Linked DNA regions of Drosophila melanogaster. The gene in region 2 interacts genetically with the main gene of each other region. Each region holds a gene or a part of one and is shown on either strand. Other genes may lie near its edges.

Region 1 (7,410 bases), on a different chromosome or scaffold from region 2:
GACGGGGCCAAGTTCATTTCCGGCACCATGGCCGCGCTCAGTGTGATGGCCAACATGGAGCAGCCGCACATCAATGTGCTGACCAAAGTGGATCTGCTGAGCAGCGATGCGCGGAAACAGCTGGAGATGTACCTGGAACCGGATGCCCACAGTCTGATGGGCGAGCTGACCATCGGGACTGGTTTTGGCGAGAAATACGCAAAGCTTACGCAGGCTATTGGCGCGCTAATTGAGGATTTCAGGTGAGCTAATCAATTATAATTAATTGATACTTAAATCGGTGGTAGCGGAGTGGAGTTTTACTGAGCATTTTACAAAAATTACAGTCCAAAAAATCCAAAAGTTAATTACATTTGAAGAGAGACTATTGTAAGCGATTAGCCGCAGAAAATACACGAAAAAGTCGACTATGGTTGTTAATATTTTCGTTTTAGTTAGTTCGATTTAATCACCAACATTATGATTTTATTAACATCGGTAGGTTTTTTATCAGAAGATTTTTTAATACAATCATATCAAAGGAAACACATTTTTGGTTTTATCGAAATGTTTTATTTTAAATGATAAACACAGGTTGATTAGTCCTTATAATAACCAAGGTTGATTTAAAGGGATTCTTGCCATAAAATAACTTCAAATTGTTAGCAAGAAATGATAATATTTTCTAATAAGACAAAAATAATGGAAATATGTATTTTGTTGAAAAAATTTAAGCTTGACCTCCAGTTCGACTTGCAATTTCAATCGCATAAAATTTTGTGGGCACATTTTAATACTATTTTTTCTTAGACTTCTGAACTTCTTTGTTCATGTCAATTTGGAAGGCAAAACAACCTATAATTATATATTATTATATAATTATGTTATTATTATTATATCAATATATATATATATATCGAATATTTCACAAGAATTAAAAGGAGAACGTTTTTCACTTCCCTTGCTGGCAGGGTCTTAAGTTCTAAAACTACAATCTACAACTTCAGGCCCATAGACTTGCGCGTCGGATGGAATGGGTGTTCCATGTGTGACATATCCGGTGGGTTCTGCTCAAACGCACTTATCTCCTGCATGCCGCTGTTGGCGATCTCCCACAGCTGCGGGTATTCCACCTTGAAGGTTTCGTACCACTTGTTCACCAACGTAAACTGGTGCAAGTCAAAGTTAATTGCCTCCAAGCAGATCGTGGCCGAAATGAGAGCGAAGTCTGCAATGGTTATGTTCTCGCCTGCCGCGTACTTAGTGCCCAGTCGCTGCAAATAGGTTTCGAACACATCAAGTGCGTTCTGCACCTTCTTTAGCGACATGGGCGTACGTTTGTAGTCGAAGAAAATGGGCGCCATGCTGTGGGCGGATATGGGGGCATAGTAGAATCCCATGTTAAAGCATAGCCGCTGATTGATTACTGCTCTCACATTGACGTCCTGCGGATATAGCGTTGAATCCGGCGCGTACTTGTCGCAGAGGTATTGCATAATGGCAATGCTCTCCGATAGATAGAAACCGTCGTCGTCCAGCACGGGTATCTCCTTTTGCGGATTCATCTGCAATGATTTGAATTTTTAATGACTTGAAAATCAAATTCATGACTCCATATGCACATACCTTCGAGTACTCCTCAGAGCGATGTTCCATGGCGCAAAAGTCCACATTGATGAGTTGATATTGTATATCCAAGGCCTTCAGGGTCATGCGAACGGCCAGGGAAGGCGGACCATCGGATACGGCGTAGAGTTTCATTGTGTAGATGGGTCTGTGGGTACACAGCGATCGTTAGTTTTGTGTATTTGTCTCTTGTTCGACCGGTTTGCTTGTAGCTTAAAAGTGAAAGCAATTTGCCTCTACTGTCTATTTTCTATATATCTATATATATATTTGGTTTAATTATTGCTGATGCTGTCTGTATTCAGTGTGTATTCTATCGCAAAAATTCTGTCAAAGAATTTCTGGGCTTTTTAAGAAATATTTTTAAATACTGAATAATAACAAACCCAAAATTAATGTTGTACGTTCGAGCAGCTTTCAAACCATACTGATGTGCTGAATTAACTTGCCAGATATTGCAGGTGTTCATTTCAATGACAATCCAAACTTGTTTTGCGTTTGAAAGGCATTATGCTAACATAGGTTCGCAAATACTCTGCCTAATTTGTCGACCCTTAACAGTCACGAATTCTTTATAATGAATCGAGGCTATGAATATTTGTTTCGAATAAGGGTAGGTGTTGTAAGTGTGCCAAAAGTTCTATCTCATTGTTAGTGTTCTTGTTTTTATTCATGCAAGTACGTTTTTTAAAAAGATTGTTATGTTTTCTTTCTTTCGGGATGGTATACATACACAATAGAGCCGTAGCTTTCCATTTCATCGGCTACTTCCTCGACAACCTCAATGATCCCATCTGTGTTGTCCACATCCATGTATTGTTGATCGCCCTCCATGGTCATTTCGACGCCTTCCTCTTGCTCCTGGTACTCTTCCTCCACGATAACAACATCATCTTCCTCATGGTGAGAGTCCGCTCTGTGGGACACGGATAATGATGCAGATCTGCTATTATTACTGCCGCTAACTCGAGGCTTCTTGTGAACCACAATGTCGCTGCTGATATTAGACACATTCAGGCGCTCGATGGCCAAATCACCATACTCCTGCTGAATCTGATCCAACGATTTGCCGATAAAGTGCAGCGGCCGAAACTTTAGGTTCTTGTTGTTCTTCTTGTTGATCTCGTTGTAGAGTCTCCGCTTGATGTCGTCCTCGCTGAAAGGATGGCTATGACTGTTGTAAACACGGAGCACACGAATAGAGCCATCCTTTTGGGTGGCCGTCGAGATGCGGCTCTTGCAATTGATGTCCGGATCGCGGCTTTTGATGCACACCCAATAGTTGCGCGAGATGACGCCACGGTTCTTGGCATGGTATATATAGCCATCGACGCACAGCAGTTCGTGCCCCTTGGCAGATCTCAGGGTACAAATCTTTGAGAGGTCCATGTCCGGCTGGGCGCCCTTTGCTGGCTCTGCTACATCGCGTCGCCTACGAATATTCGTGATCTGCGGCTGTCGAACTTTCGGCAAAGGTGTGGATGAATAAGCAGTGTGTGAATGTGGGTCGAGCTCATCTAGTGCGTCGGGCAGTATCTCGATCTTGGCGCTTATGTTGTTCGCTCCGTCCTTAAGGTACTGCACTATCATGTTCGCTTTCGATTCTGGTTCCATTTTGATGGCGCCATCGATGCTAATCACCTTCTTCATAACCACATTACGCGTGTCAATGTGTCCGTAGCTTTCGTCGACGCTGTTCTCCGCCTCGAAGGTATCGCCTCCCTGGCTGGCCGATCCCTCATCGCTTTCGAAACTGATCTCTTCAGAGTGCTCGATCTTTTGCAGCTTGTGCACATTGTCCTGATCCAGCTTGGCCTGCTGCTTTAGCCGGCGAGCAATTTCTTTTATATCCGGATTGTGCGTGTGCTCCCCATTGATTCGAAGCACTACTGGTCCGTTTTCAACCGGGTCTAGGGTAATGCGGACGTGACAAGTGTTGGCCTTGTCGCGTCGGTTTATGCATGTGAAGAACATGTGGCCGTTTGACCTGCTTTGCGAGTCGAAGTGGAACAGATGCTGACTCAAGCACAGCACCTTTCGACCCTTGGCCGATGGTAGAAATGTGAACTTGGTCAAGTCGGTTTCCGTGAGTGGATTGTGGCTCGGCGGCGGCAGATAGTTGGCAATTACGTCGAATGCCGCTGGCCACTTGGAGCTGTGATGCATTTTCGGGTCCACCAGCGAAGACTCGTCATCCCCTTCCTGGCTCTCGAGCTCTTCGCTGCCTTGAATCCCTCCACCTTGGCTTCCGTCCGTTCTCATGTATATATCGTAGTTATCCTCGCACTCCTCGATTATTATGGATTCCAAGTCATCGCCCCGCTGAGCTGTGTCGAAAGTGTTTTCCGGATCGAAGTACTCAAGATTGGGGCACTCTGCCAGCACATCAGAGGTATTTTCGTCCTCCACCAACACGATTTGGTGCTTCGAAAACATGTGCATCAGCTTGGCGGCCGAGTAGTGCGGATGAATGTGCGCATCCGTGTCGACGGCATGCAGGCGATGTGCCCCCGCCAAAGTCGCCTCCGTGCAGATCCTGGCCGTGCACTCAATGTCACGCTTGCGCACACAGGTCCATCGGAATATGTCGCCCTTGTAGGATTTCCCGGCCAGGTAGTACAGATGCCCGTCGATGCAGACCATCACGCGGCCGTCGCGGCGCCGTAGCATGTACACACGATCCTTGTCCTGCGGAATTAGAGTTCGTGTTAGTCATTTTTGTGCTGTAAAATTGTATATGAATTAAAAATGGTACATCATGGGAAATCTATTTAGGTGTAAAATTAAGTTAAGTGTAAGTTCAAAAGTATTTCATTCCCTTGGATATTCCCTTCAGTAGGGTGCATGTTATAAAATGATTGGGTCCCATTTTTTTCAAAAATCCCTAATATTTAGTTTCGTTTGGAGATATATAGTATTTTTTGAATCATAAATGATTAAGCTTTGGTATTTATTGTCCTTTTAACGGCCTAGCCGGTGGATTTGCAAATAGGAAAATAAATATAAAAAACAAATTGGCGGGAAACCATCTCATTACTAAGGTGAGCAAATTAACCTTTTTTTTACATTATCAAATGTTCAAAGTAGCGGTGGTTACCGAAATATGAATCAATATTAATATCAATGTTCTTTCTGAAAAAGAGACCCAGCTAGATTCTAAATAAATGGTTGAGTTGAGTATTCAGGGGCATGAGCCAGGTACAGTTGGCCTGGGGCCGTACCTCAAAGTCCAACTGGAACGAGGCCTCCACGGTGGAGGTGTCGATGCTTCCGTAGATGAACTCCGGCGGATTCATGCCGGCGTTGGCGCGCTCGTACAGGCGTGCTCTCTTCGGCTGGGTGGTGCTGTAAGCGTCGTTCATCATCATTACGGAGAGCCGCTTGCGCTGGGCCACCTTGTTGACCTCGTGATCGCTGCAGCGCGGGTGGATGTGGGCCAGAACGACGTCCACGACGACGTGGCGCGTCTTGTCCAGCGGATCGGGCAGCATGGTGCAGATGCGGGACTTGCAGGGAGTGGACTTGTCCTTGCGCCTGTTGCACAGCCATCGGTAGGTGTTATTCCGCCCGATGCGATCGAAGTGGTACAGATAGTCGTCCACGCAGAGCATATCCACGCCCTTGGCGGAGCGCACCACGGACACCTTGGTCAGGTCCATGCCGTGCTCCTCGACGGGCGTCTCCATTTTTGAATTGGTGCGCTGTTTGGCCCGAGCCCGGAATTCAGCGTTTTTCGATTTGCCCTCGAAAAGTGTTTTGTATCGTAAATTAGGCGATTTTTTTAGTGGCTGGCTGCCTGGGATTTGTTGGTTGGGATTTTTGGTGGTATTTCGTCAGCTCACTATTTGCGCGCCTTTTTGCAAACGCCGGCCATTTACCCAAACGCACTGATTTATTGCAGTTTGATGCACTAAAAGGGTTTATATTTGGTTTTTATCACTCGATTTTAATTGCACAAGCACATTTTCTTTTGCGACGCGTCGAAAAATGCTTTTGTGTGGGATACGAGGGCTGCGAGCTATGCGGTGGCGTTGCCACTTATCAAAATCGGTTATTTTTGTGACGTTCAAAAATTGTAAATATTGATGTTTATTATTCACTTACAGTTTGGTGAGATTTTTCCCGTTGGATTCCCAGGACGAGGAGAGCGTGGGCGATCTTCTGCTACAAATTGACAGTATCTTGCAGTACGGCGAGGATGCAGACGTGAACGTTAAGGACTTTGATGAACCGGAGGAAGGGGATCAGGATTGAAAAAAATCAATTTTTCATATTGCTTAAGAAAATGTACAATATTTTATTTTTAATAAAAAATTAAATCTAATCAAAATGCATGTCTAGCACCATCCCTGACCGCAGAGTTGCCACTGGTACAGTGTTGGACAACTGCTGCCGTAATTTTAAATTCCCCTACGCGTACGGCGTCTAAACAAAACTGCGATTCTAAGAACGAATATAAAAGCATGCAGGAGGCTGGCGAAAGTCCTGTTGGAATGCCTCTGAGCCAGGAGGCCATCGCACAGCGTCTCGCGGCGCTTAGTCGTTGGCAGGACGAGCAGAAGCGGCTGCTGCAGGAGCGGCAGTCCAATCACCGCGTTTTGCTCGGCTTGGAGCAACGTAATATGTACAAAATGCTGGGACTGCTACACCAGGAAACGGAAAGCCATGAAAACAGTGTGCTGGAGGAGTGGGACGAGGAGCACTCTATACAAATGCCGCGACTCGCGGCGGATCCGGACGAGCACGAGCCAGAGATTTCAATGGCTGATCCCCAGCCGGCCAAGCCTAAACGCCCTTTTCTGCGTCGCGGCGAAGGTCTAAAGCAGCGGTTCAAGATCAATCCCGACCAGCTGCGCCTGGAAAACCTGCCGCGATACAAGTTCGCTAATGCCCACCCTCAGTTCCGCACGCCTCAAATGAAAAAGGGTATTCTCAAGAAGCAAGTCAAGTCACCTCCCAATCCTGCGCCTCCACCAGCTCCCAAACCCTCAGCACAGCTCGACGATCTCAACGAGCAGCGCTTTCAGCAGATGCTTATCGGCAAGAACGCCTGCAGTTCCACTCCAGATCTAAAGTCTTCCTATGCGTCCTCCACAACCGCCTCGAGCACCTCGCCCAGAGTTCGTTTTGTAGAGCAGAAGAGCAGGGCGGGACAAACCACTCATGCCGATGATGAAGCCTCCTCGGAAGCTAGTCCCATGACAGGAGTTTGCTGGGCCAAGGTGCTGGACACACAGAGTATAAAGCCAGCGCAAATCCAAAGACGCTCTGCTCAAATCCGAGTGGAAGATGACAGCAATGTAAGCATATTCGAGCTGCTCGAGCAGAAGGCCACTGAGGGAAACATTGATATGAACTCCAGCTGCATTCGAACCTTTATGGCGCGCAAAGATCAGCGTCGCCGAGTAGCTGATGACTCCGATCACATTGTAGTCACACAGCAGGTGCGTCAGATGCGATTGCAGCCACAGGTGGACCAGATGCTGGTGCAGGAACTGCAGGAGGGGGACGAGGAGGACACCGAACCGTCCAGCGATCAGACCCTCACAATGACACCCATCCAGGTGGGGAATACTAAAGTGCGAGTGCGTTTCTCCGACTCCAATGACACGCACGAGTACTCCGATGCCACCAGCCTCAACGACGGCTCCAATATTCAGCTCTTTGAACAGTTCAAGTCCGCCCTCTTCCAGGCATTGGAACAGAAGAAGAAGTCAAGTCCCAGCAAGGAGTCAGACGAACCCATAACCAAAGATCTTCAGGAGAAAGCCAATCTCGTTCGCACTCGCCTCGAAGAGCTGGAGA
Region 2 (7,129 bases):
AGTGCCAAGATCGATGAGGACACGCTGAGTGGTCTGAAGGAGCTGGAGATCGGCAAGCTCAAGCCGCTTCCTAGCAGCAGCAAGAATCCGGTGCTTACCCACCGTCGCACAAAGCTGAACAAGATTCGGACGCCTTCATGCAGCAGCTCGGAGGCCTCAGACGACGACACCAAGACACGCAACAAGAAAAAGATTAACAAATTTGTCGGTGACACGCCAGTGCGGTTTCGCATGCATCGTCGCGACTCGCATGACGACTCCAGCGACTCGCAAGATCAGCTATATCCGCCGCCCGGCTCGGCCAGCAATGCGGGTAATTTTATCTCCAAAAGCGGCTCAGTAAGCGGCAAAAAAGAGGGACAATCGCAGTATAAAGAGGTACGATTATTATTGTATAATTATCAGTGAGACAGCTACTAAACTTATATTCTTTGCTTACAGCCAAATAACAAATCCGATGAAAATCGCAAATCTCACAGCCAAAAAAATCGGAAACAGCACAACAAGGATCATGTTGATAAGCATTCCCACGCTGAGAGGCAGCTGGCGGATAGCAGCACAGCTACAACAGGAAATTCCACGAATAGAAGGCGGCGCATTCGCGAGAGCCAGTCGCTGGACCGCATCACAGAGGCTCAGGAATACGAGATGCGGCATCGATGCTACGCGGAGAGCGAGGCAGCATCCTCGTCGTCCTCGTCCACCCAACATATCGATCAGAGATATTCTTTACTCAGCCTAAACACTAGCACATTCTCCGTTGCCGAAACCAAGGAGGAGTACGACGAGGAGGCAGACGCCACAAATGCCACGGACCAAATCATGAATACTTTGAATGCAGCCAAAGCAACGCTTCAACAAGAGCAATATTTTAATAACAATACCAATCTTAGTAGGAACTTCAATCACAATCACAACCAGAGCATCATCCACATCAGTAGCCAGAAAGCCAACGGCAAGAAGTCCAACGAAACACCAAAAGATATTTATAATCTGAACTCAATCGAGCATATCGACTTGATTTTGGAGGATAAAAGCCTTACCAAAGCAATACACGTTACCGGCTCTAAATGCTTTGTCACCATGAAGAAAATCCGACGGCTGGGAAAATATTTTCCCGTGATGAACTTCTCTTAATAGACACAGTTACTTCTTTGCAAAGTGCATTCTAAATATTAAAAAGAAACTCGGTTAAGCGAACTACATAGAAAATATGCATGTATTAATTAAAACGTATAAACGTCAACGTTATCCCCCGTATATAGGAAAGAGCGCGAGAATATTTAAATTTAGTGGTAGCGTAATTGTTTTGTCTGTCGTCGTCATTACGCTTAAATTATTCTAAATATATTAATTTATGTTAATTATAAGTCTAATCACTCAATGCAATATTTAGTGAAAATACATTAATGCCCATATGACAATTGACTAAAAAGGTTATTTGTTTTCTTTTTAACAAATTGTGACGAATTAAAATGGAATGAAACTCGCAACTCGCACAATCTAAAATTGGCAATTCAAATGTTTGCGCCCAACTACAGTGTGTACACACCACAAATGTTGTAGAGTAGGTAAAGGAAATAAAGCAATAAACATTTAACTACTTAAAGCTCTTAAGATGTAGTTAAGCAATGATGGATGTCACCAAGCAATTTTTTTTTATTGTAAGAAAAATATACAATATACAAAAATATATTCTTTTATTTTACAAAATGATGCGTGTAAAATACATTGTACCTAATGCAGGTACCCCAAACGAGTACAAGCCACCCTTTTCAACTCTGGTCACACAGAGCACATCCCGTAAAGTTTTTCAGAGATGAGTTTGCGGCAGGAAAATTGAATTATTCACGGAAATAAACAAAGTAAACTAAGTGGAAACTGTAATCCTGACCAGCAATTATGTTGCGCATCTATCAAAATACTTACCGGTGAGAGACCACGCCCGAAACGCGAAAGCCTTACGTGCAGATTTTCTGCACGATTTCGTCATCGGCGAATCTCATCATTCAATGTGTTTTGCCCACAGGCGCACCGCGAGAAAAGCTGTTGTCTACTCCACCAAGGTCGCCTGCTGCAATCATTCCACGCTCTGTGGCATCACCAGCCATCCACGTCGGGCGCAGGATAGCGGGAGCTCCAGTTCGAATGGCAGGCACCGTGGCCACGAGGAGTTCCTACTTGCCGGCAATCCGGCGCGGGGCTGGCAAATGCCTCCGCCGTCGCGTGGTTACGGAATGCTGGTGGTGCGCATACTGCGGGGAGCCCTCAAGCTGCGATACATCGTCCTGGGCGGCGCCATCGGCGGGGGCGTGTCGCTGAGCAAAGTGAGTTTCGCAAGTTATATAACTTGTATAGAACTTAGGAGACATGATTTGTTTTCCGCAGAAATACGAGGAATGGAAGGATGGACTGCCGAATTTTAAGTGGCTGGAGGATGCCATGCCGCAGGGCGAACGGTGGAGCCAGTTCTCGCGGAATCTCATTGAGGTGGGCTCGCTGGTGAAGAACGCCATCGAAGTTGGTGAGTGTCCATGTAGACCTACCATCGCCCTTTCAATCTCTCACTTTAAATGGTCATATACCTTGGTCAGATTCGCATTGAACTCTTCGTTTTGATTGATTGATACTGATGTTATTGGGGCGTTTGCTTGTAGATCCAAAGCTCAAGCAGCTGGGCGAGGATAAGTTGTCGGAATGGCGCAACTGGTTTGACAGTCGTCTGGACGATGCCATCGAGGCGGCCGATTATCAAGGAGTTCAGATTGTCGAAAGTAGGTTACACAAATTACACAGACTCCCAACGTTGGGACCATTTAAAGTGAGAGATCCCTATCTACCGCATTCGAGACTTATTCCTAACATCTGTTGCAGCCAAAGATGACTTAAAGGCCAAAACAACGGTGGCCGCTTTAGGCATAACATCCGATGAGAGTCGTAAGAAGTATGGTAGGTTTTTTGCACACCTGCCGAAAGATATACTATATCTAATCCTTCTGTGATTCCGCAGAGAAACTCCAGAGCCAGGTGGAGACGCTGCAGACGGAGATCATGAACGTCCAGATTAAGTACCAAAAGGAGCTGGAGAAGATGGAGAAGGAGAACCGTGAACTACGCCAGCAATACCTCATCCTGAAAACAAACAAAAAGACCACGGCAAAAAAAATCAAAAAATCCCTGATCGACATGTACTCTGAGGTCCTTGATGAGCTATCCGGCTACGATACGGGCTACACCATGGCCGATCACCTACCCCGTGTTGTGGTAGTGGGAGATCAGAGCAGCGGCAAGACCTCTGTCCTGGAATCCATTGCTAAGGCTCGCATCTTTCCCCGTGGCAGTGGAGAGATGATGACGCGAGCCCCAGTCAAAGTTACTCTGGCTGAAGGACCATACCATGTGGCTCAGTTCCGTGACTCTGACCGGGAATACGATCTCACCAAGGAGTCTGATCTGCAGGACCTCCGTCGGGATGTGGAGTTCCGAATGAAGGCGTCGGTGAGAGGTGGTAAAACCGTCAGCAATGAAGTCATTGCCATGACGGTCAAGGGTCCCGGTCTGCAACGCATGGTTCTAGTCGATTTGCCAGGAATAATTTCGGTGAGCAAGTCAATACAAGTAAAACTGCGCACATCTAATGCTAATATCATTTTAGACCATGACTGTCGACATGGCCTCAGACACAAAAGATTCCATTCACCAGATGACCAAGCATTATATGAGCAATCCGAACGCCATCATTCTCTGCATTCAGGATGGATCTGTGGACGCTGAGCGCAGTAATGTGACAGACTTGGTCATGCAGTGCGATCCCTTGGGTCGACGCACTATTTTTGTGCTCACAAAGGTGGATCTGGCCGAGGAGCTCGCCGATCCTGATAGAATAAGGAAAATCCTTTCGGGCAAACTCTTCCCCATGAAGGCTTTGGGCTACTATGCCGTCGTTACCGGTCGTGGACGAAAGGATGACAGCATAGATGCTATTCGGCAGTATGAGGAAGACTTCTTTAAGAACTCCAAGCTTTTCCAGTAAGTATAGAGAGGATGTGATTGGTAAATTCCAAAGTTCACCTCTCTCCATACTTAGTCGTCGAGGGGTTATCATGCCCCATCAGGTGACCAGCCGCAATCTGAGCTTGGCGGTGTCAGATCGTTTCTGGAAGATGGTGAGGGAAACCATTGAGCAGCAGGCGGATGCATTTAAGGCGACTAGATTTAATCTGGAAACCGAATGGAAAAATAACTTCCCCAGGTTTGTAAAAATGTTTTAAAAAATATAAGAGATCTATAACATTTGAGGTATACTCTTTTAGATTGCGCGAGTCTGGTCGAGATGAGCTGTTCGACAAGGCAAAGGGCGAGATACTGGACGAGGTGGTAACGCTCTCGCAAATCTCCGCTAAAAAGTGGGACGACGCTCTGAGCACCAAGCTATGGGAAAAGCTCTCCAATTATGTGTTTGAAAGCATCTATCTGCCCGCTGCACAGTCAGGTTCTCAAAGTAATATTTTGTAGTACTAAGTGTAGGTTGTAAGCAGATTTCGCCGACGTCATCGATGGGGGCACGTCCATCCAATCGCCCGCCTTGTGTGCTCCGTCATTGTGTGTGTTTCTTGCAAGAAGATATGGCTTGGCCTCGAACCTCACGTGTCTCTGCAAAACGTTGTGTCGTTTAAATGTTTTGTTTAATTTTGTATTTATCATGGCCCGCATTCAGCGTCGAATTCCCGTGCAAGGGAATCACATGCGTTAAATAATTTCAAACCGGTTTGACTGATATTCCTGCAACATTTCTTGAATCACAAGTGTAAATTTAATGTGTACTCCCCGGCGGACGATTTCGAATCCCATTAACACCGTTTGCCTTTGCCCCAAAATAGTGACCCGGGATTGTCACAGGTTCTGCGTTGCGATCATGTGCCGGAAAGTCGCTTATAACGAAGATTTACGAGCACCTGTACCGAAACCAGATTTTGGTTTATGTTCACATTATAAAAACGTATGCGATATTAGCGATTTATGACCGAAAAACCCGTTTAAGCCATCGCTCAGCTTGTGTTTATTTAGCATTTTATGACAGACCTGTTAATTTGCTCAATGAATTCATCCAAATCAATGTCTAATTGAATTAAATTGCAGTTATCGAGTTAGGAATCTGAATGTTTCGTCGCTTTGTTTATCATTCCCCCCGTAGTTGTGTGTCTAGTTAATTTGGCTCAACTAATTTCATACGATTACTATGCTCTTTATAGATTCCTTCAACACGATGGTAGACATCAAGTTGCGCCAGTGGGCCGAGCAGGCACTGCCCGCTAAGTCGGTGGAAGCTGGCTGGGAAGCGTTGCAGCAGGAATTCATATCGCTGATGGAGCGTTCGAAGAAGGCGCAGGATCACGACGGCATCTTCGATCAGTTGAAGTCTGCGGTGGTGGATGAGGCTATACGTCGGCACAGCTGGGAGGACAAGGCCATCGACATGCTTCGCGTTATCCAGCTGAATACGCTGGAGGATCGGTTCGTGCACGACAAGCAGGAGTGGGATTCGGCGGTTAAGTTCCTGGAGAGTTCGGTGAATGCCAAGCTCGTGCAGACGGAGGAGACTTTAGCACAAATGTTTGGTCCCGGCCAAATGCGACGAATTACCCACTGGCAGTACCTGACGCAGGATCAGCAGAAGAGGCGAAGCGTTAAGAACGAACTCGACAAAATACTCAAAAACGATACGGTATGGGTAGTATACATTATATAGTTAGTTATTCCTCATTTACACGCATTACATTATGTTGGTAGAAACATTTGCCCACCCTGACCCATGATGAACTGACTACGGTTCGCAAGAACCTTCAGCGTGATAACGTGGATGTGGACACGGACTACATAAGGCAAACGTGGTTCCCGGTCTACAGAAAGTAAGTTGTAATGCTAAACCATTTAGACTGCTTATCAGTTAGCACATATGTCTCTTTTTTCAGACACTTTCTGCAGCAGGCGTTACAGAGGGCAAAGGATTGCCGCAAAGCATATTACCTCTACACGCAGCAGGGAGCCGAGTGTGAGGTAAGTGTTAAGGTTTTCCCTCTTATCTGAACCAATTTACTTAACTTATTGCTTTCTCAGATATCCTGCAGCGACGTCGTGCTCTTCTGGCGCATCCAGCAGGTGATCAAGATAACAGGCAACGCACTGAGACAGCAAGTAATCAATCGGGAGGCGCGGCGGCTGGACAAGGAGATCAAAGCGGTGCTGGACGAGTTCAGCGATGACGAGGAGAAGAAGGGTTACCTGCTCACCGGCAAGCGCGTGCTACTAGCCGAGGAGCTAAGTGAGTGCTTTGCTTAATTGAATTTGGCGCCAATTTAATTGCTTTCAATTCAACAGTCAAAGTGCGGCAGATCCAAGAGAAGCTGGAGGAGTTCATCAATTCACTTAATCAGGAAAAGTAGTGTGCCATGACCAAAGACACAACACCCGAGGCGTTACTTATTTAACTTGATAGTTTAAGACCACATTTGAAATGTTTGTTCATAGTCACGCTTGAGCCCCTTAGTTAAGCATACTTTGTGCTCCGAAAGTAATAAACAAATAGATCGTTAGTTCGTATTATTGAAATCGTCTTTATTGTTTATGAAGTGTAACCTTATGTCGCATGCAATGCAATGTAAACTCATTAATTTAAATGTAATATAAATCATTCATTCTGTTTTAATGTAATTGTAGTTGATAAACGTTAACGCGAAACGCACTCATCGTGCTGAGTATGTAGCGGTCCGTGTGTGTTTCTGAATCTGTATCGTGTAATATATATATATACATATATATTTAAATCGGTTTGCATAAGAGCACAGCACTTTTACCAGATGCCTCATCGTGCGGTTGATTGTTTGTTTCGTTTTGTCCACGATCGGCTAATCCCGCGATGCGCCGGCATCTGTATCGGTATCGAGATCGGTGGTGGGTGCATTAACCCCGACCGATCGTCTGGCCGCGTCTCTAATTGATTGATTGTTTGATTGATAAACGTATATCTAGCTAACTATGTATGTAGCTAGCTATGTAACATAACAAGTCCGTGATTGCGGTGCAGTACCATATCTCTTACAAGGTAAACAAATGCTCGTTCCCTATCATG
Region 3 (4,519 bases), about 10 Mb from region 2:
TCATCGATGGTAGCAATGTCGCCTTTGCGTAAGTTCTCTGCTTAAAGCTAACTCTAGACGGACTATTTATTTCATTTTCATTTGACAGTCATGGCAACTCAAACGTGTTTTCATCAGAGGGAATAAAGTATTGCTTGCAGTATTTTGAGAAAATGGGTCACGAAGTTAAGGCTGTGGTTCCAATGTTCCGGAAAAACAACTTCAAGTCTTCGAATCCCGAGCTTCTCGATAAGCTGCACAAGGAAGGGAAGATTGTGTTTACGCCGTGCAAAAACATTCCCGGTCAAATTACGTCTAGCTACGATGATCGGTGAGCTCCTTAGAAAAAACTTCTATTTAGAAATGGAAATGCATAATTTTTTTTTTCAGTTTCATTTTGCAGCTGGCATACGAAAAGAATGCCGCCGTGGTTTCCAACGACAACTACAGAGACCTGATTAATGAAAATCCTGCATTTAAATTGATCGTTGAGAATCGAGTTCTTGGTTACTCCTGGTGCGACAACATATTCATTTTACCCAAGGATCCTTACGGCCGCTGGGGACCTACCCTCGACGAAATTTTGAGGTGCTAATGCACCTAGCCATATATTTGTTTTCAAATTATTCTTTAGTTTCGTGTTATATCTTAAGTTAGTAGTTTTCATTTAGTTTGGTTGCGAATTATTCAACTTTCTTTTCCTTTACAATTAGCGTTAAGTTGGTCAATACTGAAGAGTTAATACGCAGCGTTTACTCATTTTATTAGCATATAGCATATAGTTTTCGACCAGAAGGGTTTTCATATGCCTACTATTTTAAAAATCTTGCAAAATTACGAAGTTCATTATTTACATATAATTTTCGACCAGAAAAATTTTTTAATATGCACTATACGTTTATTTATTTATTTACTCCAATGGGGTTTATAAGTTATGCAAAATTAAAGAGTTGCCGAGGAGCAAGATTTATTTACAAAGGCAAAGCTGTACAGTGTCTTGTTTAGTGTATAAATAATAATAGATTTACTATTTCTCAGAAGTCCAATGCTTTGTTACACCACTGGTGGTTGGCCGTTGACCAAAAATACGGTGGTGGTGGTGGAAGTGGTGGTTGTGGCCACGTTCGCCTCGTAAACCGGCGGTGGTTCGTTAATTCCAACCGCCAAATTGGGATTGCTCGCTTCCAAGCTGGTGGCTATGGTCAGTGTGCTGTCCTGCTTTCGCTCGCTAAAAGCGGCCTCGTCGTAGCTGGGCGGCAAATCCAAGGTCTTGGGCAGGACACTAACTTCGTTCTGGCTGTTTGAGCACACGTTTCCGACTCCTCCGGAGCCGCCGTTGCAATTGTTCGTCACATTGATCTCCATTTGGCGACGGGCTGCGAAAAAAGAGATTTAAATCGTAGTGGACAAGGAAACCTCAGAGAATCTCTTTAAAAACGGAAGTTAGCAACTATATCTTTTAAATATACGTCTAAATCGCTGCGTTCTGTTAACCGATACCTGCTAATATTGGTATTCCTTTATATATAGCGTAACATGTTCTGTTAACCGTTAAATGTTACCCGCTTTTAAAGCAGAAAAAGCAACCAGCCTTCCACAGGGGGGTCGGGTCTCACTAATGACTTTCAACATACTGTTCGAGTCGTTCTTTATTTTAAACGACATTTATAATAACGTTTTTCATGCTGATTAAAAAGCCGTTATATTATGGTAAGAGCACTCAACCCCCTTATGCCAAAACAACTACGCCCTTGAGCTCTGCTATTGGGTCAGCTGCTCTGACGCCAGGCCAACAGCTGATTGCGCCAACTAAGGCCACCACAGAAGTGGAAGCGCATCAATTTAATCACAGACTTTGGAATTTCAACACCTACGCGCCGTTGAACTCCGGCGCTATCTGTAGTGCACCATATCGAGTAAGTGAAACTATTGGCAGTCATTCCGAGCGAGCCGCGACTCACCTTCAGTCAGTTGTGTTTACATAATGGCGCAGACGAAATTACTGAGGTGAAAGTTTAGCTACATGTGAGCGCTGGAAAATGTAAATGGGAAAAATGTAAATGAAAATGCTGGCGGAGATGCAACAGGTTAAGTGGGCTGTATTCGCCAAAAATCAGTTAGCGGAGGGCAAAGTTCAAAGTGCCTCAGTGCCTTGGTTCCGCGTAAAACTACGCGCTTAATTTAGGTGAAAGCCCAAAGGTTAATCGGCATTGACACCTGTTGTTTTTGCACACCGGACTAAACGCTCTTCATTTTGCAGCCGGAGGAATGCTGTTGCGTCGCGTTCTGGGCTACGGAGTAGTCGGCGCCGGACTGGCCTCCGCCGGCTGGAGCCTGCACACCAACGACTACGATCCCAACTCACTCGGAATCGTCCGGCTGTCGCGATCCGCCGCCGCCGTCGTGGACGTGGCACTCACCTACAAGCGGGAACTTTACTACAAGGAATGGGATAAGGAGACGCCCGAGTACAAGGCGGAAAAGAGCCGGGTCCACAAGATAGCCGCCGAGAAGCTACTTCAGCTGATCTGCATAAACAAGGGTGTCTACATCAAGGTGGGCCAGCACATAGGGGCCTTGGAGTACCTGCTACCCAAGGAGTTTGTGCAGACCATGAAGGTACTTCACTCCGATGCGCCGCAAAACCCCATTGAGGACCTGTATAAGGTAATCCGACAGGATCTGCACTGCAATCCGGAAGAAATCTTCGACAGCTTCGAGAGGGAGCCGCTGGGAACTGCTTCCCTTGCCCAGGTACATAAGGCGCGCCTCAAGACCGGCGAGCTGGTGGCCGTGAAGGTGCAACATCCCTACGTTAAGGGTAACTCCCGCGTTGACATGAAGACCATGGAACTGGCCGTTAATGTGCTGGCTCGGATATTTCCCGACTTCAAGATCCACTGGCTGGTTGAGGAGTCTAAAAAGAACTTGCCAATCGAACTCGATTTCCTAAACGAGGGACGTAACGCCGAGAAAGTAGCCAAGCAGTTCAAGAAGTACTCGTGGCTTCGGGTGCCCAAGATATACTGGAAATATAGCTCTTCTCGAGTCCTAGTCATGGAGTACCTGGAGGGTGGGCATGTCACGGACTTGGACTACATACGGCGAAACAAAATTGACTCATTTGCGGTGGCCAATCGCATTGGGCAGCTCTACTCCGAGATGATCTTCCGCACCGGTTTCGTGCACAGCGATCCGCATCCAGGAAACATCTTGGTAAGACGCACGCCGGAAAACAGTCTGGAGATAGTTCTGCTGGATCACGGGCTGTATGCAAATCTGACGGACAAGTTTCGGTACGATTATTCCAATCTCTGGCTGAGTATCCTTAAGGTGGACCGCAAAGCGATGCGACAACACAGTGAGCAGCTGGGAATTAAGGTATTTTCGCTTGGGAGGTGGATTTGAACCTAAACCTTCTAACCTTCTAAACCTTCAATCCAGGGCGATCTGTACGGTCTTTTCGCATGCATGGTGACGGGACGACCTTGGGAGACGGTGATGCAGGGCCTGACCAAAGTCAAATATTCCAAAGAAGAGGTAAGTTCGTGCCGGAAATTCTTCTCTTCAATTACTCGTAGTATATGCTTTGATTCTGCAGAAGAACACGCTGCAAAACAACACGTCCCTGGTGCTGCCGCACATTTCCGACGTATTGGAGCAGGTGGACCGTCAGATGCTGCTCATTCTGAAGACAAATGACTTGATCCGCGGAATTGAGTCCACGCTGCGCACGCAGAACCGGATGACCGCCTTCTGGGTTATGTCCAAGTGCTGTGTTCAATCTTCGTACGCTGAACAGCGAGCCAAGCAGTCTGATTCCGGATCCTCGCGAATCCTGTGGCTGCGGGTGCGCGAGCGATGGGAGCTTTTCAAGCTCAACTGCTACTACCTCTACCTGGGACTGATTAATTTTGGTTTCCTTGAAGCTCTCAAGCAGGTTATTTAGACTAAACGGTGTCCCCCAATTAAAAGTACAAAACTCTTCACGAGGAAAGGGAAATTACCTCGTTGTCTCTGCTGGGCCAGATTCCGCACATTGGTCTCTCGCTTGCGTTTGGCGCTCTTCGGGGAGAGAGTGAATCATTAGCAGGAGCAGGTAGTGTCCCATTCCGAATGGGCTTACCATAATCATGGCCAGAGGAAAGGCGATGACGAAGAGGAAGACCAGCACAATGTAAATGACATAGCTGGGATAAAATAACATGTATGGACCATCGTAGCCGCCACCGTTGATCCAAATTGTGACGGAAGTGGTGTTAACGTATTCCCAATCCGATGTCGTACTTTCAGTGGTGTTAAGTGTTCCGTTGGCCACCGTGGTGGAGTCAAAAGGGGTGCTGACCGTCGCGTTTATGGCAGGGGCCATGTTGAACTCGGGTGTTAATTCCTGATTGGAACTGAAAAATGTCTCGAAGACAGCAGTTCTCTGACGAACAGACAGAGCCGACTAACCTGAACTACTGGCCACCGAATTGATAGGACATCCGGGCATGGGTCAGACTCGGGGCTGACAGCGAAGAACGCACATATTTGCTTT

The links. Genes that interact genetically often act in the same process or in processes that back each other up.
Region 1: of Opa1 (region 2) and gfzf, changing one suppresses a phenotype caused by changing the other (phenotypic suppression), as found in Drosophila melanogaster (one study listed by BioGRID).
Region 3: of Opa1 (region 2) and Adck1, changing one suppresses a phenotype caused by changing the other (phenotypic suppression), as found in Drosophila melanogaster (one study listed by BioGRID).

Annotation. Positions count from the first base shown.
Region 1 is NT_033777.3:7,145,340-7,152,749, forward strand, and holds gfzf (GST-containing FLYWCH zinc-finger protein), read right to left. Parts: upstream 5,630-7,410; 5' UTR 5,292-5,629; coding exon 4,827-5,291; intron 4,294-4,826; coding exon 2,339-4,293; intron 2,040-2,338; exon of another isoform or gene 1,992-2,039; intron 1,754-1,991; coding exon 1,606-1,753; intron 1,545-1,605; coding exon 975-1,544; 3' UTR 541-974; downstream 1-540. Other genes in the region: CG2656 (uncharacterized protein), read left to right, coding at 1-242, 5,712-5,859; Sas-4 (spindle assembly abnormal 4), read left to right, coding at 6,069-7,410.
Region 2 is NT_033778.4:14,230,088-14,237,216, reverse strand, and holds Opa1 (optic atrophy 1), read left to right. Parts: upstream 1-1,767; 5' UTR 1,768-1,902; coding exon 1,903-1,931; intron 1,932-2,029; coding exon 2,030-2,327; intron 2,328-2,388; coding exon 2,389-2,524; intron 2,525-2,657; coding exon 2,658-2,774; intron 2,775-2,874; coding exon 2,875-2,949; intron 2,950-3,010; coding exon 3,011-3,600; intron 3,601-3,655; coding exon 3,656-4,029; exon of another isoform or gene 4,030-4,087; coding exon 4,088-4,252; intron 4,253-4,313; coding exon 4,314-4,501; coding exon of another isoform or gene 4,502-4,515; exon of another isoform or gene 4,516-5,252; coding exon 5,253-5,725; intron 5,726-5,790; coding exon 5,791-5,909; intron 5,910-5,972; coding exon 5,973-6,057; intron 6,058-6,117; coding exon 6,118-6,322; intron 6,323-6,378; coding exon 6,379-6,443; 3' UTR 6,444-6,606; downstream 6,607-7,129. Other genes in the region: Snrk (SNF related kinase), read left to right, coding at 1-378, 442-1,137.
Region 3 is NT_033778.4:24,609,928-24,614,446, forward strand, and holds Adck1 (aarF domain containing kinase 1), read left to right. Parts: upstream 1-1,775; 5' UTR 1,776-1,895; exon of another isoform or gene 1,896-1,917; intron 1,918-1,954; exon of another isoform or gene 1,955-2,239; 5' UTR 2,240-2,247; coding exon 2,248-3,360; intron 3,361-3,423; coding exon 3,424-3,519; intron 3,520-3,580; coding exon 3,581-3,928; 3' UTR 3,929-3,979; downstream 3,980-4,519. Other genes in the region: CG42360 (uncharacterized protein), read left to right, coding at 1-28, 89-310, 370-574; CG4741 (uncharacterized protein), read right to left, coding at 1,033-1,355, 3,987-4,044, 4,106-4,348. UniProt on the Drosophila melanogaster protein: Essential for maintaining mitochondrial cristae formation and mitochondrial function by acting via YME1L to regulate the mitochondrial structural proteins Opa1 and Mitofilin. This function is likely to be kinase-independent.